Danio rerio: one gene and its partners. The protein of the gene in region 2 interacts with the protein of the main gene of each other region in a pairwise test. Links are inferred from orthologs where the notes say so. Each region holds a gene or a part of one and is shown on either strand. Other genes may lie near its edges.

Region 1 (5,364 bases), on a different chromosome or scaffold from region 2:
GCTGATACCTCTAAAAATGCACCCTCCTACAATACCTCGACATACAGTAGCTTCTACAAATGTACGTTTCTCCCCACAGTTATCTACAATCACAGAGCAATAAACTCTTTTGTAATCAGGTGAAAAGTTAATTTCCAAGACCTTCACTCTCTCTGCTGTAAACTTTTTGTTCAGTGTCCCGACTAGTTGCTCAAGGGTTCACCGGGCAGTTAGATAATGACTCAAAACACTCCTTTGACACTGTCAGAAATACTTTTGAAAAAAAGGCCACTAAAACCCCACTAAGCTAATTACAACAAAATGCACAACAGTGTAAAAGCCCATTAACCTAAGTACAGCATAATTACCCAGTATTGATTAAAAAGGGTGTCTTGGAAAGGCATTCATGTAACCTCAGTCAATGGTAAATGATGATAATAATAATAATAATAATAATAATAATAATAATAATAATAATAATAATAATAATAATAATAATAATAATAATAATAACCAATTTTATTTGTAATGCGCTTTTCTTAAACTCAAAGTGCTACAAGGCAAAATACTAGCAATACAAGGCAAGCAAAACAGTACAACAATGAAATAAAAGATTGTAAAAACACAAAACAAACATTTCATAAGCTACAAAATATAGATTATGAAATCGTACAATATGCATTATCGAAAAGAAAAAAAAAATTCGCTGCTCATCTGAATAATAATGCTAAAGAAATGTTTTTCCTACTGTATGTGATTAGGCATGGGCCGGTACAAGATTCTGTTAGTATGAAAACATTGAATAAAAATATCATGGTTTTATGGTAACAGAGTATTGTGATTATAGAGTGGGTAAAAATTATTGAACCCAACATATTTAATAGGGATGTCCAGATCACATGATCGGAAATCGGGCCTGATCATGCGGTTTTAGACTCCACTGGAATCAGACATTATAATTATAATAGACATTATATTATAATATATATATATATATATATATATATATATATATATATATATATATATATATATATATATATTCTCATTGTTTTTAACATCTATAGTTATGCAGTGGCACAGAGTTAAACCTCTTTCTTGATTTCACACAGAAACAGCAACGCATGCGGCATGACATCACCTTGTTGCAGAGACACTATTGGTCAAATGCTGGCAGAGTAGAACATGGAAGTAGCTTGAAGCGGAAAACGTGAGTATGTCTGCAGTCTGGAGGTATTATAAAGTTAAGGACAACAACATTGCCATAGCAAACTATGAGATTTTTAAACTTGGGAATAGGTATGGGACGATAATCATTTTCAAGGTATACCGTGGTTTGTAAAAGTCAAGGTTTTAAAACCGCCAAAATGTTCTGCTATACCGTTCCTACGGTATATGCAAGTTTTTTTTTCTTTTTTTTTTACATTTCATTTTAAGTTTTTTAGGACAACAGTATCTTCAGCAGAAACAATATTCAAACAGCCTTTTCAAGTTGAAAGAACTCTGTGTTTTTTAAAACAAATGAAGACAGCAGAATACCATAAAACATTGAAACCGTGATTTTTTTTTTCCAAGGTTATCATACACTCAGAATCTTATACCGGCCCATGCCTACTTGTGATTGCCTGCCAGGCATTTTAAGTTGAGGTGCTATTTGTTTTTATATTAGCTTTTTTATATTTACTGTTGCATTTAAGTCCAAAAGTAAAAAATATATGTTGTTTATCGCTTGATTATTCAAGCAACCTCACAGAAGTGCTCTGTTTGTTAACAGAGTTGTTGAATGGTAAAATAAGGTAAATTATTCAAAAAAATAAGGAACATTCTGGATCTGTTTCTTTGCTCTTTTTTATTCTTTTTTTTTAGTTTTTATGTATTATAGACGTATCGCATCGGGTTTGGTTATCGGTAGATAGTAAAAATCAAATTACTCAGACTCAGATTAAGGGCAAAAAAAACCTGATCAGGACATCCCTAAAATGTAATTTTAAGAAACACTTCTGCTGAAAGAGACTTCTGCTGTCTTTATTGGTTTTAAAAACACAGATTTCTTTACAACTTGAAAAGGCATCTTTGAATCTTTTCTCTTTTTTTGGATAAAAAAGTAAGCCGCTGCACTGTTCAGGCCAGCATGCTTGGATGTTACTGCATAAGCAGTTCGTTTTTCAGATGTTTTCTGAATCGTTGGTTGACCAGTACATTTTAATGTGGAGGGTCTTTTTCTGCTGGAGATACTGTTGCTCTAAAAACTAAATAAAATATTCAATAAAAAGAACAATATACGTATACTATATGAACAGTATGACAGAAAAGTTTAGCGGTTTTAAAACTGGATATCAACTCATGCCTACTCGTGATTATTTTATTATGTATTCATTATTATTCATAATAACTGACCGTCCACTTGTTGGCAACATTTAACCATTATTTTTAATTAATTAAATGTGTGTAGGTGTGTGCGCGTTTGTGTGGTTTCAAAACTAGCATAAAACTAAAATGTGGGCAGGCACAGTGACTAAAGCTTAAAGAAGCATTAAGCTTGTTAATTGCTATATTTATGTATAATCACTGTTGGGGCAGTAATGTACAAATTACTTTTTAAGCAGTAAACAATCTCAAATATTGTTCCTTTCCCTGTTCCTCAGCTATTTCACTCGAACTATACATTATATTGCATAATTATAATAAACATTACATTTTAATTAATTAATAAATATTATTCAAACTCATGCATTATGATAATAAAAGTGAACCGTCACCAACATTTGAACATTTTATTTAATCGAAAACTCATGAAACGTGATTCGAATCAAGAATAGCATTCCATAACAATACGGTACTATGATATTTACGTAGTACTTTGATATATAAAGTGTTAAGCAAAACATGATGACGCAATTGTACCATGTCAAAAGCTTAGTATTACAATAGAACATGCCAAAAAATATTATTTGAAATACTCTATTTCCTGTTTACTAGCATAATGCTAACCTGCCTGAAGTCCAGAGTTCACTTCAACTTTTCAATAATCCGCATACAAAAAGTATCACCGATCCAAAACTGCTTCAAACATTAACATAACACTGTGCTGAATCCGTCCTTCCATAATAAAGCTGTTTTAGCGTTGATGTTACTGTATGTAACACTGTCAATGGCCTGTCAACGCACCTGAACACACACCTGTCATTTAAACACCTGTTTGACACGTCACATTCAACGCTTTTGTCTTACCTGTTGCTTCAGCTGAAATCAGTCTGTGCATTCATGGTTGTTTAACGGCGCTTCAATCCCCTTCGTCAGCTTTTACGGGAAATATATTACTCTCCATAACATCCGCTGCGCCCTTCGGTCCGTCCACTTGCTCGATGCATCCCGACAGTCGGCGCTACTCTCACACAAACACACCACACTGAGAATCGCCACAGAAACACAAATGGAGAATATGCGGCTAAAGGGCAATAATAGTTTTTTAAGTGACCGGTTTGGTCTGAAAAAAAACGTTATTTTTTCACATTTTACTATATATTTTCACCTCAATTTCTAAAGTTACCAGTGTTAATTTTTCAGGTGTAACCTCTTTCCCAGACCTCCAAAGTGGCAAATGGCAATTGACAGCGTTGCAACGTGGTGTCTGTTACTTTTCTCTGCGCTTGTCAGGTTTAACCAATTATGTTCGACTTTAATTATTGATACACTATTCGTTAAATTAATTTATATCGATAGATCCCTGTGGAGAATTCCATGACCATGCCAGACAGTAAGCATTTGCATCCACATTGTTTAAACAAAACTATTGTCTTGTGTTGTAAAGTTCTTAATAAAGGCGTTCTAAGATCAAGCGTTGCGTTGTGTCTCATGTACACAACATGGGGGCGTTGTTACTATAACAACTAATTCATGTCTATGAAGAAGACAAGGAGAAATTCCCTTCATATTCATTACTCATACACATGGGTATGTATGAATAATTTCGGCCTTGACTGTATATGTTCGTTTTATTTTGTATGGCTTGATCAAATAAAAGAAAAAGAGAAAAAAATCATTTTCTTCATGTTGTGAATTACATATCAAATAGCATGCGCTCAGAAGACAGCAATGCAGAAGAGATTGAAACGTTTAAATAAACATAACAAAAATTCCCAACAAACACACAACGTTGCCTCAACGTAGCGACCTTCCTACAACGTTGTATCAACATTGCAAAAAGGTTGAGGATTCTACGTTGTTGCTAAAGGTTGTCACAACGATGTCATAAGGTTGCCATTTAAACATCATGAGGGTCGCCCAACAAACACATTTACGTTGTAGCGATGTCTGCACAACGTTGTATTTTTTCAAAGGCAACGTTGCCGCTTACGTGCTCGCTACATTGTCACAACGTAGAAATGTAAGACGTGAGAAGGCTGTAGCAACGTTGTCGTGCGACATTCAGCAACCGCGAGGCGGCGTTCTTACTACTTGTATTGATATTTTTTTGTGGCAGTTTATCATTACTGCCTAGAATACAGGATAAGCAGCAATTCTTTTCCAGTATTGCTTAATATGAAATATTGTTCATTTATTTTTCCTATTTAATTTAAAAACTGCATGTGTAAACTTTAAAGTGTAAAAATGCCACACAAATGAATATCAAACTTTTTATTATATATTTCACAACATTTAATAAATACAGTACACATACAGTATCTAATTATAAGCAAACAGTATAAAATAAAGTTTATATATATATATATATATATATATATATATATATATATATATATATATATATATATATATATAATTAAACTAAAGGGTAAACAAACAAGAAAAGTAAACAAGAAATCATTAAAAGGTAAATAAATATATAAATAAATATATAAATTAAAATTCAAACACTGGGCAGTGAAGCTCTGGACTGGAGAATACAGCAGACCGGGGAGCGCAGCTGAAGACCAGTCGTAGTTGTTGGTATGGAGAAAGCAGTCAGAGGAAGAAACAAATTCAACGGATAATCCAGCTTCAGAGATCCACAGCAGACAAAAGTCAAAATAGGCAGTGAACAAGAGAGGACAGATCAGAGCTTGACACAACAGCACTACACAGGAAATGACTATGACTAGCAAGTTATTGAAGTTTCAGACATTTATTGTAATTTCATTACATATAAAATCTCCAGAGTAATTATGTAGCCTACTTTATTTTAATGTTTTAATAATATATCATATACCAAAATTACAAACAATTAAATAAATTTAGAGATACAGGGAAAACAGGTTTGAGTTAACAGAAGTCAGAGTTAGTCTCCGAATACTTACTGTAAATTATGAGAAGAGGTCCTGTAGTTGTGGCGTTGCTCGCTGTTAATGAAATGTTAAACTTAGTGTCATTTCAATAACAGCTGTA
Region 2 (4,568 bases):
TGATATATTAAGTAAGTACAGGAGGCTTGAATAATGTATTGAACTGAACTTTTTAACTGATACAGACAGACGGACGCTGCCCGCCGGTCATTTCATGAGGCATGAGCTGATGGAAAATATCGCTGATTTCATTTTGCAGATGAAAACGAGCCGAGACGAGGCAGATGTTCTGTAGGCTTGGAGTCTGCAGCGTTTTCAAAAGGTAACGTTACGGGAAATTGTTAATGTCCTATTGTTTAAATAACCCACAGAACACACCGGACGTCAGTAACCATAGATGAGCAGAAATCCGCGAGCGTCACGTTCATGTGTCGCGCGCTTCTGTCAAGCACTGCAACGAATCACAACCTAAAGCAGACTGCAATTCATTTATTTTAAGATTTAAAAAATGGAGTCATACGGGAGATACATCGGCCTAACAAGCCACGGCTTTGAGTTCGAGCTTTCACTGGTTGTAGTGCAATGCAAGACGGTCATATTGGATGTTTATGTGGTTAAGAAACTTGTTTAGATGTTGTTCAGTGTAATTATTATAGATCAATGTAGACGTGAGAGCTGAATCAATGTTAAGATAGCATTGATGGTTAACTGCTCATTACCTGGCTATTTGCTTGTGTAAAACCATCTTCTAACATCAACAAACATACAGCACGCTACAAGTTATACTAAGGTGGTCAAACTGTTTTTGGGGGCAATTTAACTGGTCAACCAACATTACCAAGCTGTTTTCCTAAATACAGTAGTCAACATTCGAAGCGAATCAAAAATGTTTTTCAAAATTGTCCTAGGACAAGAATGGCTGTTGTTCAATAGTTTTAGGAAATCTTTGATGAAAGGTTATGATCCTCTTCAAATGTTGACTACTGTAGTTCAGCCCAATTGAAGATTTACTCTTCTTCAAGTGGTTCCAACCCTTTATGAGTTTCATTTTTCTGTTGAACACAAAAGAAAAAACTTGAAGGCATGCATGTTAGAAACCTGTAGCCATTTACTTTCATAATAGGAAGGTTACACATTTTCAGTATTTTTCAAAACAGCTTATTTTGTGTTTAACAAAAAAGTACATATAAGGGGTGCGAATTACAGGGGCTTTAGGGAGATATGACCCCCCTAATTACCACTTTATCCCCCCTGAAGGATGTCAGAACAAGATGTATGGGGGGGTCAGTTGTTTAATACTGAGAAATATTTCACTCTGATCTGTATTTTAAATAATATTAATTATTAAAATAATAGATAATATAAATAAAACATTTGACCACCGCTATAACGGTAAAAAAATTGTTAATGCATATTTGCGCCAATCAGTCAATGCGAGAACAAAGTCTGAAAGAGGCAGATCTAGAGCTCCAATAGACATCATGTTCACAAGACTTGTTCTCGTAAAATGGGTGTTTACATATTTAGCCTGAAAAATATGTAGTTTGTAGTTTAACCTACAGTAACATCTGAAATCGCAAATTAGAGAATACTGCAGGTCAGAATACACTAAATGTCCCTCAAAATGCTGAAAACCTAAATCTTTTAGTTTTTATTAATAAACTAGATGAAATTAAAAAAAGAAATGCATAAATAAGTGAAGCATGTATACACAAACTAACTGAAACAGCTGACCCTCCTGATTGTCAATATATAGTCCAAGAGTTCACAGTATATATATATATATATATATATATATATATATATATATATTATATATATATATATATATATATATATATATATATATATATATATAATATCGCAATATATATCGCAGGGGAAAAAATATCGCAATGTCAATTTTTTCCAATATCGTGCAGCCCTAGTTCACACTTAGCTGATGATTAATTATAAAGCTAGTTTGGCATGCTGTCCTGGGGGAGAGCCATGAGCTCAAAAGATCGTCAAGTCCGGGGCTCCCTCCTGTTTGCAAGGCGAGAGGGGAGTTTGAGCTCAGGTTGATCTCGAGAACTCCCCTGCTGTAGAAGCTAATGAACAGATAGTGATTGCTCTTAAGAGATAACTACTTACTAGGAGCATGTCTATAATGCTGATTTGGATTAGTCAATTAACTTAAGTTGTGTTTTTGGACGGTGGGACGAACTCTGGGAACCTGGGGGTAAACCCACGTGAGCATGGAGAGAACATGTAAACTCCGCACTGAAACGTCGACTGGCTTGGTAAGGACTACAACCAAAGATGTTCTTGCTGTGAGGCAACAGTGCTAACCACTGGGCCACCGTGTCAGCCATCTAGGAAAGGAGGAGGAGTAGGGGTGGAAGGGGGGATCCTCAAAAACAAAGGTGGCTGTGATATGGAACTTAGGGTATTTTATAGTGGCTTAGGAATTATCTGATTGGTGAATCATAAATTGGATAATGAGGGACCAGCCGCAAGCAATCATAAGCATGCGATCCTCTCGAAATTAGTTTATAAAAAAACTCCACTTCGCATACTGTATATGTATCTATACTGTATTTACTCCGTCTCAAACAGGTTTGTGACAAGTGAAGGGTGAGTAAAAGATGACAGAATTTTCAGTTTTTGGTGAACTGTCCCTTTATTCTGGCTTTTCAAGTACAATTTCAAAAGACTTCTTCGTTATGTAATGCTTTACAAAATACTGTTGTTGGTGATTTGGTTGTGCTAGACTACTTTCGACCATTAACAAACAAACCATATTGAGGTGAAGTTGGTTTTATATTAACACAATTGTCCAGTGACAACTTGTGACATGCTCCCTATATAGTTTACCATGCCACTTTGAATATTCGGCCTGAAACACATGTAAGTATGATTTGAAAATAACATTAGCACTATTTATTTGACTGTAAACAATGTTTTACTTTGAGATCATTTGTGTTAATATAATTTCCCTATTTAGAATTTGCAAAAGATGTTTTTGTGAAATTAAATTATTCAGAGGAAAGTGCAAATGTGTGAAAATAAAACCAACTTTACCTCAATACGAACCAGCTACTAGTTAGTTCTACTAATGTGGCTAAACTCTATATTTGGGCATGTTAACTGCTCAACCAGCAGATTACTAGACAGCCATCTTAAGCTAGATTCTCAGAGGACTTGTTTGTTTTCTAATACTTTTGTAAAATACTATTGTGTTTACAGCATCTTATATTGTTGTGAGGTTTGTTTTCATAAGCTTATAATAACAAGCACTCGTCAGCACTTGGATACACAAGCACATTGTCTGGCGAACACCTGATGGCACAAATGAAAAGTTGTATATTACACAACACTTCCTATCTTATTTTCATGGACAGGCTCTGTAGATAAAGTATTGTGGATTAAGTGTTGTGGACAATGCCTATTGTACCTATGGGAGACTCGAGAGCGGAACGAATACATTGCAAATGTTGTGCACCTGTGGGAATTGTATGTTTGTTTTGTATGTGTGTGAGAGAGAGAGAAATGCTGTTTGACTGAGGAACCCTGGAATTCCCCTTTCGGCTGAGAATGGTTCCCTTTTCCTGCTTTTTAACTTGGTGCCTATTGTTATCATGGAAACCATGCGTTGCCACTGGAGACAAAGCATAAAGCATCAGTCTGTTTTGTGTAGTTACAGTTATGCATTTTATACAAGCTTGGGCAGCACTTCTATAGAGCCTGAACTCTTAGGGATTGTTGTGTTATACATTACATCTAATCATATTTAAAATACTCAAATAAGTGACTTTAAACCTACAAAGTTTCACAATGGTGCCATGGTTTATATTGTGTGTTGTTCTTGTAGAAGTCTGATATGTCTGGTCCCACCTGGCTGCCTCCAAGGACCCTGGGTAGCCCAGACAGAGACACAGCACCAATGTCACACTCTGGCCCCGCTCTCTACAGACCTCCAAAGAAAGGCCTGCCCGAGCAGAGGCCCAAATATAACATGTATGACCAGAATGGTGGAACGGGAGGAAATGGCATGCCCATTAGATATATGGCTACTGGACCTTCAGGTAAGAACTGCTAAACTTGTTGTTTAAACGTCATGTTGATCCCTATGTACTGTTACTTTTTTTTAAAAATTAAATTCATTTTTTACTCTATTTTTATTTTTATTTTTTTTTATACATTTCATTTTAATGTTTAAATTAAATCCTAGTGATAAAAAACTTGTCAGATTAGTTTAAATCCTAAAACTAGAAAGCTGGAATAATTTATCTTGAGCTAATCTCATTTTCTGTAAATGAATGCTCTGAATGATAATATTCTTCATTTTAAAATTAGTGAAGACAGAATATCAGTATTTTATAAATGAAAACAGAAATGAACATTTATTCAAACAATGTGGCTATTAAAAGCTCTTGTCTACTCGATGGTACAGCGTCATGATTCAGTTTTGCTTAATTTTGTTGGCTTTTCCACAGTGTTGTGTACCAAAGACTATAGAACACACAAGATGTGTTACTCGTATAGTTTTGAATGGGGAAAAGTGTAACGGTCAATATGGTGAATTAAGCCTCACCTTCTAGTATAGGAGCCAATCATCGATTGCTATGAACTGACGATTCTCCTGGGAAAAGCTCAGACCAGATGTGTGCTTTTACAACAGTTTGGTGGTCAACAAACACTGGAAT
Region 3 (4,568 bases), on a different chromosome or scaffold from region 2:
TGTGGACCTTTTCTTTTGAATGATGTGAGCTGAGAGTGAGAACAGTCTCTTACAAGCAGGATCACTGAATCAGCATATGCATTTATGCATGAAGCATCAAGAGGTACATCAAAGGCATGCACTGGTACGCATTGTCACACCAAAGACTAGTTCTTACAGGGACTTTGGTCACACCATCTAAACATTTACAGTTTTTCTCAGTCGCTTTGGTGCGTTTCTCACAACACTAGTGCATTTTTGCACAACATTTAATGATTTTTTCAAAACATCTAGTACAAACTGCAAAACCTAGCTGATAACCTGCAAAAGCGCATCACATGCTCAAAATGGATAGTTCATTTCTCAAAAGCAAGTATTGATGTCAATCAAAGTGTCAGTGTCATCAAAATGAAAAGTCCTGCCAGCATTGTTTATGAACAAGATAGTCAAATGTCTTTGTCATGTTTTCATTATGACAGTTTATTCTCTACATTTTTTCAATGCAAAAAAAGTCTGTAGCACAGTATACTATTATGTATACTATTAGCACAGCCATTTGAAAACTACAGTAAAGTTAGACATCACTGCATTTAGTGAGGTATCTAAGTACAAGACACTGAATATCTATGTTTCACATTTTTACTGCATTTGCTCTTTGCAATCCTAATTTATTCCTAGCATTGTGCAAAAGAATAAACACACCCTCATTTACAACAAACATAAACTCCCTTTAGGTAGAGCTGTGCACAACTGTAAACAATATTGCAGTACATATTGGAACTGAGCCTACAACATACACAGGTCTGTAAATCATTCATCAAATTGTTCAAATTTAAAAACATTTTAAGGAAAATAAAGATTTTAATTTGTTTAAAAAAATTTTTGCTTGACAGATTCTGACAACTAGTTCAACATTTTTGTATGTAATGACTTAAGTAATGAAACGAGGACTATTAGTTTTATATAGAATGACTATTCAGCATTTACAAGTTTAGTTCATTTTGACTGACATGACATAAGCAGATGATAATGTTATAAACAGCAGAGAGTTGTATGAAAGCAATTGATGCATGTCCTAAAGCATTTGCAATTTGTTGAAAAGAATGAGAAACTGCTACTAGGATGTGCACAAATGACTAATTGTTTTGAGGAATGCATTACCTGTTGTGCAAATGTAAATAGTGTAGCGAGAAATGCACCAAAGCGACTGAGAAAAACTGTAAACAACCTTTAGGCATTTGTTCTTGTTGCTAGGAAATGCGTGCGCGCATGCACACACACACACACACACGCTCGCAGGACAGCGCAGCCTGAGCGACTCCCTTCAGACTCAACAGGCATGATCATGTTCATAAAATTTGCTTAAACTAAGCGTTCTAAAGTATGACTGTATTTCACAAGGATTCTGACACAACAATGTGAAGCAGACGCATTACAAAATTTGTGTATAAGGGTGAAACACGTCAAACTTAATGACACATTTGAGGACTCATGCTGAAAGGCAGAGGAATGTGCTGTCTTTGACAGCTCACAACATCATCTATTACTTTCTGAGTACATTTACATGGACACCAATACTCCGATTTTAATATGATTAAGATTATACTCTTATTAAGAGTCTACCATGTAAACAGCGATTTTTAATTACCTTAAAGGACCACTGAGTAACGAAATGCAGAGGTTTTTCTTTCTGTTCGGCATGCGATATCAAATTCCATTAAAACAACATCAAAATATTAAAATTGAATCATACGAAATTAGATGAAATTCTGGAGGAAACACTGGATAACCCAATGTGACATTAATTGTTTTCTACTGAAACTTTCCATCAAAAAGTGCTTCCTTGGTCTTATCCATATTTCTTTGTATGTTGAACACATGTCGACTACAACAGAAAAAAAAACTGCAATTGTGTGAATTTTTTTAACACGTTACATATTTCAAATTAATTGCATGCGTTAACACACTAATTTTGACAGCACTAATACACACACACACACACACACACACACACACATTCTCAAAACTTTACATACCTCTTGAAGAATTTGTTTAAATGTGAATTATTTGAACAAAATATGAGAATGTTATTTAGTACTGTCCTGAATAAGATATTTGACGTAAAATATGTTCACACATAGTTCACAACACAAACATCTAGCTGAAATTATTAAAATAGTTTGTACACATATATACACTTTTACATTAGCATGCATGTGTATGTTTGTCTCAGAATGTTACCAGTGAAAGTTTCAACTCTATTCGTTCACAGCAAATCATCATAGTTTACCTCATTTGCTTTCTGCATGGATCCATGAGTTTGCATGGCCTGCCCTTTAGCAGGAGTCCTGGTCGTCTGCTCATTTCTCAACTTTCTCTCAGTTACAGATGCGCCTCCTCCATCTCCTCCATCAGAAGAGCCCATGTTTGACGACACACAAAATCCGGCTGCTCCTCCAGAAGGCTATGAGGAAGAGGAGTCTTCTGTGGTGGAGTACAGTGACCCTTATGCTGAGGAAGACCCACCATGGGCTCCACAAACATACCTGGAAAAAGGCAAGTTTGAAGATTTAGGTTAAATGCAATTTTGGTTGTTACTTAAACATTTAAAGGAGTAAGTCAGTGGTTTAACTGTTGTCTTAGTTTATGAATCCTTTTTCATGTTGCACTTTCTGCTCATTTTCACACATATGGATCTTTTACTACTAAACACTATGATTTTTTTTTTTTTTAAATCATCATCACCCCATTACAATTTAAGTAGATCACACACCTTTAAAATATGCCATTATTATGGTATGCAATCATAATTTTGATTCTTAATATTTATCAATGTATTTACTTTTTTAGCAAGTTTTATTTGATTTTGATAAGAGTCTTCTCTTATTTCTAAGATTATTCATTCATTCATACTTTCATTTTCTTTTCAGCTTAGTCCCTTTATTAATCTGGGGTCAGGATATTAGGCCCTGTTATCACTGCCAGTAAAATGCGACCCAATTTTAGTTTTTTTTCCTCAAATGCGACAGATCGGATCAGTTCTATGACTGAGTAAACACAAAAAAGCGCATGCATTCGGATATTCAGAGATTGGTTTCAGGCTTCCTTCATATGTGAAAATAAATCAGGTATGTGACAATGTGACTATCATGTAAACAGGCTGATCAGATTTATTGAAGAATTTCTGTTTGTAAATCATTAAACTTGTGACAATGTGGTATTTGTTCATGGTTTATTGACGTAGAAGGAAGAGCGTGTGTGCTCATTTCAGACCCACTTCTCCTCATTAAAGCCCGCAACAATTTGCTCCCACCAGACCTGAGCTCTCTTGTACCCACAAATTCCTCTAAATGGTGGAGGACACCATATATAAACCATAGGCACAAGTTGCGATAACGACCCTATCTTTCCTTAAAATCATTATAAAGTTGGGTGAACTTTGCATATTTCGCAGAGCTAAAAGCAAAAAAATTTCTTGTATCGTGGCTAGTTTGGCACAGATGCTGGAACCTGCCTTTACGTATGCGCAATATCGTAAATTGTAAGGCAAGTGTAAACACATGAATTGCATACGGGTCACAATTAAAAGAACGTGTAAACAGACAGGTAACAAAATCAGATATAGGCAACAAATGATGCTCGGGATTGAGCATCAAGACCTGACAGTGTACACTTGACCTTAGTCTCATTATTTTTTAACTGACCAATCAATAAGAGACTATTGATACATTTTCATTTTAATAAAACAATATTGATTTGTAAATCCAAAGATCAGAATCTTTGATTCTAGTCTAGTTGATTGAAGTCTAGTCTGTTTTAGTTTCTGTATCAAATAAAAAATATAATGTTAAACTGAACAAAGCCACAATTGGTTCATTACAAAGCTAACTTCTAATTTCTGTTTTAAATTTTTCTTCATCTGCACTTGAATTATGAGCAGACACTCAGAATAATATTACTATTATTTTTCATTTTTCTTTGTTTCAGTGGTGGCAATCTACGACTACGTACGGGATAAGGAAGATGAGTTGTCTTTCCAGGAGGGAGCCATCATCTATGTGATTAAAAAGAATGACGACGGCTGGTATGAAGGCGTGATGAGCGGCACTACGGGACTTTTTCCTGGAAACTACGTGGAGTCCATCATGCACTACACAGAGTGAGCGTGTCCTCTGTCCCACACCAGCGCTGATCTGCAGAAAAGTGCAGAAGTGCAAACAAACCATGCTAATAACAGGCCGTGTTCAGAGACAAGTGCTACAATGGAAGAGGAAGCAATATGAAGCTGAACATCCAGACTTTGCACAGACGACGTTTAGGGAAATGTTAGAAATAACAAGTTTACCTTTAAATGAAGGATGAGGAGTTTGAAGTTGGATATGCATAAGCTAGATTTGGAGTGGCTATATTTTTCCACATTTGCTCATTCCACAGAATTTGGAGGGCTGTGCTGGGGCTGACAGATTATTTGTGGGGGGTGATGGGTAAAGATGTGTTTATGATGCCGTTTACATTCTGGTCACTTTTGAAAATGGGAAATCTTTTCTTTGAATTGAATAGAACAGGTTTATATGTAGAAGTTGCTTTCT
Region 4 (4,165 bases), on a different chromosome or scaffold from region 2:
TGTAGCCTTGCCCACTGCATGCATTAAAAGTTCATTTTTTATGTTTTGTAATTTGTTTATTTTTGTTAAGAATACACATTATTTCTAAGTATTGGGTCAAGACGGTTTTAAGTAAGCACATAAACATTTGAAAAACCATTACTTGTATACTTTCATATGCACTTGCTATGGTATATAAACACATTATACTAATTATAAAATTAAGCAAGTGAAAATGATGGAATGTTGTAAACAATTTAAAGTATGAAGAAAAGTCATAAACAATGTGTAAAGTTAGCTAAGCTTTTATAGTTTGTGTTAAAAGATATAAACGCTGATTTTATGTAATTACGGTTGATGGAAAAAAAAACAGGAAACATAATTTTGGAGAATACTAAAATATAAAAAGCAACCTATTTCTTTCAATTTATGAAAAATTGTGAGCTGCGGAATTACTAAAACTGTACAATTAATCCTAATACATTTGTTATCACTCAAACTCCTAAAACTTTTCAAATGTTGCAATTTATGAAGCAAAACTGTTCAAACGTGTCTCCTTCGCCAAAGTTGGGCTCTTTGTCTCGTACTCTTTTCTCTGCATCGTCAGGAAATACCGAGGAGGATGTTTCTTTTCATGAAACGAACTCATAAATCAAAGTCTTCTAGAAAAGCTGACAGCATCCAGACAATCAGTGTCTGTGAAAATCTGCCCAAATACGTATTTCATTCACCGCTTATCAATATAACGATTTTGGATTCAGCGCAACCCACGTGGACGGATAATAATAATTAATCTTTTTATTGGCGTTTTACACCCCGTCATTAGGATTACACAAAACACTCATACAACATATTTCACTGCACGTCCTCCCCAATTTGTCTTAGTCTTTTTGCTTTTTGTCCTGATTGAAATAACGTTACAAATGTTTATAATGTCTTTATTGAAGATGTTTTAAAATGCTTTTTTTCGTATGAATAAACAAATATTTAATCAACTACAATAGTTTTTATTTTTAGATATTTTTCCCCACATCTAACAGAGTGAACATTTGGCCACTAAGTGGTTCTACAGTTTTTATAAACTATGACTCCATTTCATTTAAGTACATTACACTTTATATTTATGCTGTTATTTTTTCTTGCCTTATTTGTCAGGCTTGTTGCTGTAAAAAAAATAGTGGCATAAGAAATACTAGGCCGTAGTAAGCTTGTGTAAAGCGCCATTTTGAAAAAAGAAAAAAGGTATAAAAATGTCCAATTTCCTCCAGAGGGGGCGCGTGTCTCCTCTGCTCCACATAGGATTGTGGATAAAATACATCGTCTTCCCTGTGATTATTGATCAGTCTGTGAATACTAATCACAAAATAGCATTCAGCAAAAACAGAAATCCCGCTAATGTATTTATTTCAACATGTAAGTTCTTAGTTCCAAGTAAGTTCCAAGTCCTTAGTTCCTTGCTGCTTAATGTTGACAGTTAGCATACATAGACATAGGCTAAATAGCTTATAGCAGTAATAAATATACAGTGGGCTACAGCCAATGTTTTTATCAAGTAGCTAAGCCTAACGTATTAAAAAACAACAAATATAACTGTGCTGGCTACACCGAAAAAATAACAATACGATGAGTGGTAGTCAGTTTATCATTTTTATACACTTACTAAGTTGACGAAAGCCGATACACTAGAGCCTATAGCTGATAGGATATTGCTACCCGAATTGTGAACCAGAAAAAGATACTAACTTTACATAATTTCTTTGTGGTTTTGAGATCATCTTACCTGAAGCATTTCTTTAAAAAAAATCCACACACCGAGAAGCTGATGCTGCCGGGACGCTGTCTGTGAGACAACGTCCCTCTTAGCGTATCTGCCAGCGAATCTATCCTTTCAGCAGAAGTAAAGGTGGGCCTACGTAACGTTGATGGACAAGAGGTCGGCATTTGCATAAGCCTGGTCTTTAACGACAACCTGTCAGTGCAAGGCCACTTAAGATCAAGATGAGACAGCACAACTGATCACTGGCTGACCCAGCCCACGTGACTGTCACTGGTCATTCATATCACTAGCGCCCGAACACCTCCAATCCACGACTGATTGAAGGAGGCAGAAGGGTGCCTCGGCTCAACCCAGGGTGAATGGTGCGACGTTAATCAGTTCCGGGCCCAAAGTTCTGTCAGTGTGGCAACCACGAGCTGAGACGCCCAAGAAGATGACACAATGAGCACATTCTTAGATTTTTCGTCCATAAGTGGTGGTGGAGATGGAGGTAGCGGGGGCTCGTGCTCAGTCAGGGCGTTCCACGGTGATCACGGACTTTCAACATTCCAATCGTCGTGTGCTGTTAGGTTAAATAGCTGCAGTGGAGATGAACGGTTCATGTCCAATATATCGTCACAAGATGTAATTAACTCTCAGCCACAACAGGCCGGCTCGTACCAGTCCCCCGGGACTTTGTCAATTACCTACAGCGCCCATCCAAGTTATGGAACTCAAAGTTTTTGCACTGGATACAATCACTATGCCCTAAATCAGGACGTGGAATCGTCTGTGAGCTTTCCCCAGTGTGGCCCGTTAGTTTACTCTGGAAATATTTCTTCCACTGTTGTGCAGCACCGTCATCATCGTCATGGTTACAGTAGCGGAAACGTTCACCTCCATGGCCAGTTCCAGTACGGCTCAGCCACATATGGTAATAGTTCGGATCAGGCAAACCTTACGTTTGTGGCGGGCTGCTCAAATCCGCTTTCCCCTCTGCATGTGCCTCATCATGATGCTTGTTGTTCACCTCTATCAGATGGCGTGCCCACGGGACAGACATTTGACTGGATGAAGGTTAAACGCAACCCGCCAAAAACAGGTGAGTGACTTAAATTTTACAAGTCGTAATTATTTTTTCTCCCGATACGGAATACAAGTCCTGACTTAATATTGCATGTCCAACACTGGTTACATAAACATCTGAAGAAACCTAAGATATGGGACTTGACATAACAATATAGCCTAGTATGCATACACACATTCATTTATTCTTCTTTTCATTCTCTCTCTTAAGGAAAAGCTGGGGAGTATGGATTTGGTGGGCAGCCAAACACTGTACGCACCAATTTTTCGACAAAACAGCTGACAGAGCTTGAAAAGGAGTTTCATTTCAATAAGTACTTGACTCGCGCAAGGCGCGTGGAGATCGCGGCTTCTCTCCAATTGAATGAGACTCAGGTGAAGATATGGTTTCAAAATCGCCGTATGAAACAAAAGAAGCGCGAAAAGGAAGGTCTTTTGCCGAAATCTTTGTCCGAACAGAAAGATGGTCTCGAAAAAACAGAGGATGCATCTGAAAAGTCGCCCTCTGCACCATCCACGCCCTCTCCTTCACCAACTGTTGAGGCATACTCCTCTAATTAAACAGCTTTCACATTTGTTCTTTCAAATTGTAAACAATAATGCAAAATTGTTTGTGACTTGTCTTATGGTTATTTGTACATCATGTTTTAACATAAGTGGAAGAGTGTTTTAGCGACCAACCGTTTCTAACTCGACCATTTTGATCACTCATTGTTTATCTGTGCACTATTTATGTTAATGTGAAATAACTGTTAATTGTCTTGGGCACTTTGTCAAGCACCTGGATAGAAAGAAGTGGCTTGTGCATTTTTGTGCACAGTAATAACAAATGCTGCACTTTTACGCGCGTCTTAGTTTGAACTTGTAAACCACTTGTCAAAATGTCTACCTCAAGAACCGAAGGAAATAGTGCAATATATTTAGGGGATGCATTACTAGTGAATCTGTTAAATCTTTCGGGAAATAGTGTCTGTAATTGACAAATTCTCTGGACGATGCAAAGTGTTGTTAATTCTTGTGTTGTGAGTTTTGCAGCATACGCAATTGTCTGAAGTTGTTCTCCGGTGATGCTGAGTTTTATCAGTCGGAATTAAAGTTTCCTTTAATTTAGAAATGCGTTAGAAAAAGATCAAGATACGGGTGAAATCATGTGATAATTAAAATGTATCTTATAAGTACAATTTATTCAAATACTGTATTACTTTTGATGGTTCTAATGTCTGTCAACCCTCACAGAAACAACTAACTCTAAAACACTGCTGACAATCTGTCTTAAAAATTTAAACCAGCAATCTAAGCACTATTATTTAATATTTAAATATACATTTTGTGGAATGAACTGTT
Region 5 (5,281 bases), on a different chromosome or scaffold from region 2:
TGTCTGGCGGGAGCCCTTTTAGTATTTAAGTGTAGCTTAGCTTAGCATAAATCATTCAGTCGGATAAGACCATTAGCATCTTGCTAAAAAAAATCACAGGGGTTATTTTCCTATTTAAAGCTTAAATATTCTGTAGTAACCTAGATGGGAACTTGTTTAGGTGCTGCATAATATTATTGATCCTGCAGCAAAGTTCCTTGATTATAATGCTGGAATACTTTTTTTCTGTCAGTCTTAGAACACAATGTAACTACAGAAGAGTCAAGCTTTAAATAGAAAATTTATCAAATTTATCATTTTTTTTAATTTTTGTGCAAGATGCCAATGGTCTAATCTGATTCAATGACTTATGCTAAGCTAAATATGCTCCCAATATACCTGGAGTTCAGCTGAATGGATTTAAAAATGGTAAAGCTGTCAATCTCTAGGAGACTTGTAAAAATGAGCCTATTTCCAAAAATAAATGCAGTGTTCCTTTAAACCACAGTGTTGACATTTCTCCATTTTGTCTTTTATCAATAACTCACTTTCACTGACATTTCTCTCTTCCTCCAAAAATTTCCTCTCCAGAATGATGGCTTTCTCCCTGAGCTGTGAAGATTCTATCACCCGCTTCCTGCTCCAAAGGAAGTTAGAGAGTTTTTGTGCCCTTTCCGTCAGACTTTTTACATCGGCCCCTACATATCAAATAAAAAGCATATAAAACACACTACTTTAGCATGTCAATTCAGAAAACATAATCTTTAATACTGAGGCTGGCAGATCATTGGTTCCTCACTCTGTAAGATGGACTGTGCTGCTAGCTGCAGTTGCTCTGGCAGTTGCACTGTTTTCAGGTTTGTAACACCCGGGTGTTTTCTGTGAGGAGCGCCATTCAGGTAGTCGGCCTGTTCCAGAGGTGCTGCGGAACTCTGACACTTTCAAGACAATGAGAAGCACATTTGACTTATTCAGTATCACATAATTCTGATAATTTTTTTTGAATAATGGTTAGTGGTTGAAGGGTATCTTTTTGGCAGAATTACAGCCAGGTAGTTCTGGCTATAGCATTTGTTGTTCCTTATATGGAAGTTAATGGGTACCGGGTTTCAACATTCTTCAAATTATCTTTTTTGTGTTAAATAAGAAACAAGGATGAGTATATACATTTTATATATTAAATACATTTTATGATTCTGTTATATTGCTACTATGTGCAGTCTAATAAAATGCAAGGCATATTAAGCATCTTTGGTGTTTTTCTATAGGTGAAGTTTTTTCCTTGCTGCTGTCGCCACTGGCTTGCATGGTTCGGGACCTGTGGAGTTGGGCATCGATGGATTTGCTCTTCAGTGTTTGAACTCTCAGCAGTGAAAATTAAACCACACTGAACTGAACTAAACTAAACTTCAACAATGAAAACTGGACTGACACTGTTTCAATTCACTAGAAAGCTGCTTTGACACAATCTACACTGTAAAAGCGCTATAGAAATAAAGATGAATTGAGTTAAATTATAAAACGACTGAAAATCGAGGGTGAATGATGTCATTAGCATGTGTCACTAGTTAAAATTGCTTATTTTTAGAATGAGTTGAACATTCCTCAAAACACTGGAAATACTGTAAGTGTAAAAGTCAGCAAAAAATATAACACTTTTCTAGTGAAATTAAATAAAGATCTTACATATTTTGTCATTAAAGATTATTAGTATCATTTGTAAAGAAATATGGTTTTATTCATACTTTCATTAGTTTTCATTTTACTATAAATTTTATGTAAAGTTTTAACTTTACATAAAAAAACTTTTCACTACAACTGCTCTTTTAGGAAAAGAGCAATAGCAGTGCTTAAATTAGTGTTTCTAACTGCTTTAAAGAAAGTGCTTTTATAGATATGCCTGCCATTATCTTTTTTTATCATGCAAGGAAGAAAATTTACAAAGATACAATATGAACAAAGAGACAAAAACGGTTACATAAATAAAATTCCAGCAAATTAAGCAAGTTAAAATGATTTACACTAAGAGTTTTACTGGCAATATAATTATTAGAGTATTTCACAGAGTTTACAAATAAATCCTTTCTAAAATTAAACAGGGTGTTTCTTAGAAAATGTAAATTTGTGGATGTAAAATTTTGCCAAAAAAAATAAATAAATCATGAGATAATAAATAATACATTTACAATAAGAGGGATCTAAGTTCAGAGAGTAGGAATAGAAAGAATACTAGAATACTAGAAATACTAGAAATATTTTTGGGGAAATATAAAAGTTTTGAAATAAGAATTTCTTTTGATGTAATTGGAAGTCAACCCAAAACACTTTACAGTAAATCCACTCCCAAAATAAATGACTTAGTGTTTCATCATATTGAGTACAAAATGAGTATGTATGGGAAATATTGTTATTAAATTTGACAAATTTGGTATTTATTGGGTAGCAATTATGCCTGGCATTTATCATCAAGTAGCCAGGCCACATTCATTACCAATCACAAATTTAACCAATCACTGCAGAGCAATGAACACATTCTCGTTCTCAAAACATTTGATAGTGTTTAAACCATTCATACAATACATTTAGTTGACAAAAAACATTTTCTCAGGTAATAATTAAGGTCACACAAATATATTAATTACAAATGATTAACAAACTAAATAAATTATTAGTATATTTCTCACCATCATCGAAACGAATAGCCCTGATCACGCCCTATATATATCAGACTATCCTCACTTGAATCTTCAGCGAAAGGAAGCTCACTGTAGAGGTCACTTACTGAGTGCTCGTCACTCGCCAACACCTCGGGGAAGGTCTGAGACAGGAGCTCCTCGCTGACCTAGCAGGACATCATCTGAATGATGAGCGAGTGCACAGAAAATCGGGTCACGCGCGCGACTCTCGCAGCAGACGTTGATGCTCGCACACATTCAGCGGATCAACTGAATGACGCGCGCAGACTTGGAAACACTCGCGGCTGGCGAATGAGTGCGATGTGTGAGCTAGCATAACATGCTAGAACCCAATTCAGACTACTCTCCCTCCGCTCTTTTCACATCATTTATTACTAAGAATGACATGGAAGTTTGACTGACATATTACTCACCCGGATCGCTTCTTTCAAAGACAAAGCCACATGGCACCTTGAACATTTCACAAACACTCGACTTCCCAGTAAATGCATGCTTTATTCTCGTTTATTAAAACCTGCGTACAAATGAAATTCTACTTTAAAGACAACACAACATGGTAACATCGGTGTACGGACGCATGCTCAAGCAGTCGTTTTACCGACTTCAAAATAAATCCGTGTAGAAACAAATCGGTCAATTCGTTCCTAGACAGGAGTCCGCTCTGTTATACTTTTCGCGCCATTTAAAACGCCCCAGTTGTGCTCTGTGATCTGAGGTAAGTGTTGAAAACTATTTTAATCTTATCATTATTTACATTTTAGCGGGATAAAGCGTAATGTTATCCTATATTTTGTTCTCCGAAACGTGTTTTGCCGCAAGACTCCGGGCTAACGTTAACTTACGTTATTAGGAAGTGAATACATCACTATGGTGACTCATGTCATAATTCACCACCTCCTAACTACATAACTAGGAATTTTACGTCACACCCATACCTTCACTGCTAACGTGTGATACACCGGAAACGTTTCCTCTTTTGACGTTTTCTCCTAATTTTAGCTGTTTTCCGGGAACATGCGACGAACAAGGAGTTGCAGGGACAAGTCTGTGGCAGATTCAGGCAGTGAAGCTTCAGAGGCGAAGACGGGTATGAATTCGCTTTCTCTGAACATGCCAAAACAACCCAAAGTTACACAATCAGCATTTTAAGACTTTTTGTCATACACTGAAGCTCTGCACATTTACATTGACTGCTTTTCCAAGTAAATATATATATATATATAAATGTACACCACAGCCACCCCAGCATGACTGTTTTAACCATTAAATCACTTTGAGTTTATAGATGTGACAGTCCCCTGGAAGAATTTTAATATGTAGAATCATTGACTGTGTGTTTTGTTTGTTTTTTGTGTGTTTTTTTGTTTGTTTGTTTATCAAGAAACCTATTTGTATATTAAGTAGTGAATATGTATTACCGATGTTGCCATGAATATAGCCAGTGTTGCTGATAAGCCATTAAAACATTAATAAATAATATGTTTGCACTGTTTTCATTTCAGATTTGCATATTTTTACATTATGAATGATTATGAACTATGAATGTTTTTAGTTTGGCAGTGGAAAGGGGATGAAGATGAATGGGAACCGTATCCTTCAGAGGTCTGCGAACAGCTGGATGCAGCAAAGCAGGCTGGTGAAAAGTCTGTTTCGCTTGCGCTCGGACCTGGTTACGTAGTGGATCTTGTGAAAATGACTCAGACTAATACTGTCAGCAAGTACAAACGAAAAATACGCCTTCAGAAAGTGAAGTCAGGTACGTCTGCGTGCTTCTGTATGTGACTGAATAAGCCTCTGGGTCAGGAAACTAACAGCAGCTGATTTGTTTTATTGCAGAAGATCTGAATGAAGGGAATGCTTTGAATGGTAATAAAAAAGCAACAGGTGTTGTTCAGATTAAAGAAGAAAAAGAGGAGGAAGAGGAGCAGCCCGTTTCCAAGAAGAGACGCAATGAAGGGAGGAGTCAGAAAGCGAACAAAGACAAACCTGTGGTAAAAGAAGAATGTGAAGGTGATGCTTCCCTCGAATTAATTTTAGCAATCTCTCTTCTTCAGTCAAAATGAAAGTATGCCCCTTAAACAGGGTTCCCAGAGGTCATGAAATTTCTGCAATGTCAGGGATTTTTAAAAGGTTCATTCCAGACATTGAAAATCAGGGAATGATCTATATTTTAGTCCAAACTGAATATTACAAAGTTGACTTATCACACACCAGATGAGTACTTTCTATATGTGAATATAATGAATTGTTTAACAGAAAACAGTGAATAGTGTCTTGGCAAAAAACAATCTGAGGTAATGGGCTCCATGCACAGGTAGAGCTTTACAGCCAACAATAATCTTTAATGTTTTTTCAATTTCACAAGGTTGTTTTTACAGCATCGATGTTGTAATGTAATTACAATACATTCAGTTAAATAGACTTCAGCATTCACTAAGTTGTTCAAGCATAAAACCAGATGAAAGACCGTGCAACCACTAGCACCGTCAGTACCAACAGGCTAGCGCAGAAATTCCATTGAATATACTGGGGTTAAATAAACTCATATTTTAATGACGGGGGAAATGGAATTTAATGCAGCGCTTCTTGTCCGATCTGAGACCTAC

Evidence for each region.
Region 1: the proteins of trip6 (region 2) and ppp1r16a interact in binary tests that used the Homo sapiens proteins (3 or more experiments, as listed by UniProt). The two-hybrid records come from large-scale screens. The link is inferred for Danio rerio from reciprocal best matches to the Homo sapiens genes TRIP6 and PPP1R16A.
Region 3: the proteins of trip6 (region 2) and abi2a interact in binary tests that used the Homo sapiens proteins (3 or more experiments, as listed by UniProt). The link is inferred for Danio rerio from reciprocal best matches to the Homo sapiens genes TRIP6 and ABI2.
Region 4: the proteins of trip6 (region 2) and hoxa1a interact in a two-hybrid assay, tested with the Homo sapiens proteins (2 studies listed by BioGRID and IntAct). The two-hybrid records come from large-scale screens. The link is inferred for Danio rerio from reciprocal best matches to the Homo sapiens genes TRIP6 and HOXA1.
Region 5: the proteins of trip6 (region 2) and mettl17 interact in binary tests that used the Homo sapiens proteins (3 or more experiments, as listed by UniProt). The link is inferred for Danio rerio from reciprocal best matches to the Homo sapiens genes TRIP6 and METTL17.

Annotation. Positions count from the first base shown.
Region 1 is NC_133187.1:14,314,398-14,319,761, reverse strand, and holds the start of ppp1r16a (protein phosphatase 1 regulatory subunit 16A), read right to left. Parts: upstream 3,593-5,364; 5' UTR 3,512-3,592; intron 3,365-3,511; 5' UTR 3,211-3,364; intron 1-3,210. UniProt on the Homo sapiens protein: Inhibits protein phosphatase 1 activity toward phosphorylase, myosin light chain and myosin substrates.
Region 2 is NC_133182.1:19,977,764-19,982,331, reverse strand, and holds part of trip6 (thyroid receptor-interacting protein 6), read left to right. Parts: exon of another isoform or gene 1-11; intron 12-65; exon of another isoform or gene 66-202; intron 203-3,733; 5' UTR 3,734-3,742; coding exon 3,743-3,947; intron 3,948-4,568. UniProt on the Homo sapiens protein: Relays signals from the cell surface to the nucleus to weaken adherens junction and promote actin cytoskeleton reorganization and cell invasiveness. Involved in lysophosphatidic acid-induced cell adhesion and migration.
Region 3 is NC_133184.1:13,942,179-13,946,746, forward strand, and holds the end of abi2a (abl interactor 2a), read left to right. Parts: intron 1-2,361; coding exon 2,362-2,535; intron 2,536-3,966; coding exon 3,967-4,142; downstream 4,143-4,568. UniProt on the Homo sapiens protein: Regulator of actin cytoskeleton dynamics underlying cell motility and adhesion. Functions as a component of the WAVE complex, which activates actin nucleating machinery Arp2/3 to drive lamellipodia formation.
Region 4 is NC_133194.1:22,043,606-22,047,770, forward strand, and holds hoxa1a (homeobox protein Hox-A1a), read left to right. Parts: upstream 1-2,101; 5' UTR 2,102-2,197; coding exon 2,198-2,837; intron 2,838-3,032; coding exon 3,033-3,382; 3' UTR 3,383-3,404; downstream 3,405-4,165. UniProt on the Homo sapiens protein: Sequence-specific transcription factor. Regulates multiple developmental processes including brainstem, inner and outer ear, abducens nerve and cardiovascular development and morphogenesis as well as cognition and behavior.
Region 5 is NC_133177.1:40,857,448-40,862,728, forward strand, and holds the start of mettl17 (ribosome assembly protein METTL17, mitochondrial), read right to left. Parts: upstream 3,281-5,281; 5' UTR 3,167-3,280; coding exon 3,089-3,166; exon of another isoform or gene 2,670-3,088; coding exon of another isoform or gene 2,664-2,669; intron 918-2,663; coding exon 779-917; intron 678-778; coding exon 528-677; intron 1-527. Other genes in the region: parp2 (poly [ADP-ribose] polymerase 2), read left to right, coding at 3,690-3,762, 4,228-4,431, 4,512-4,685. UniProt on the Homo sapiens protein: Mitochondrial ribosome (mitoribosome) assembly factor. Binds at the interface of the head and body domains of the mitochondrial small ribosomal subunit (mt-SSU), occluding the mRNA channel and preventing compaction of the head domain towards the body.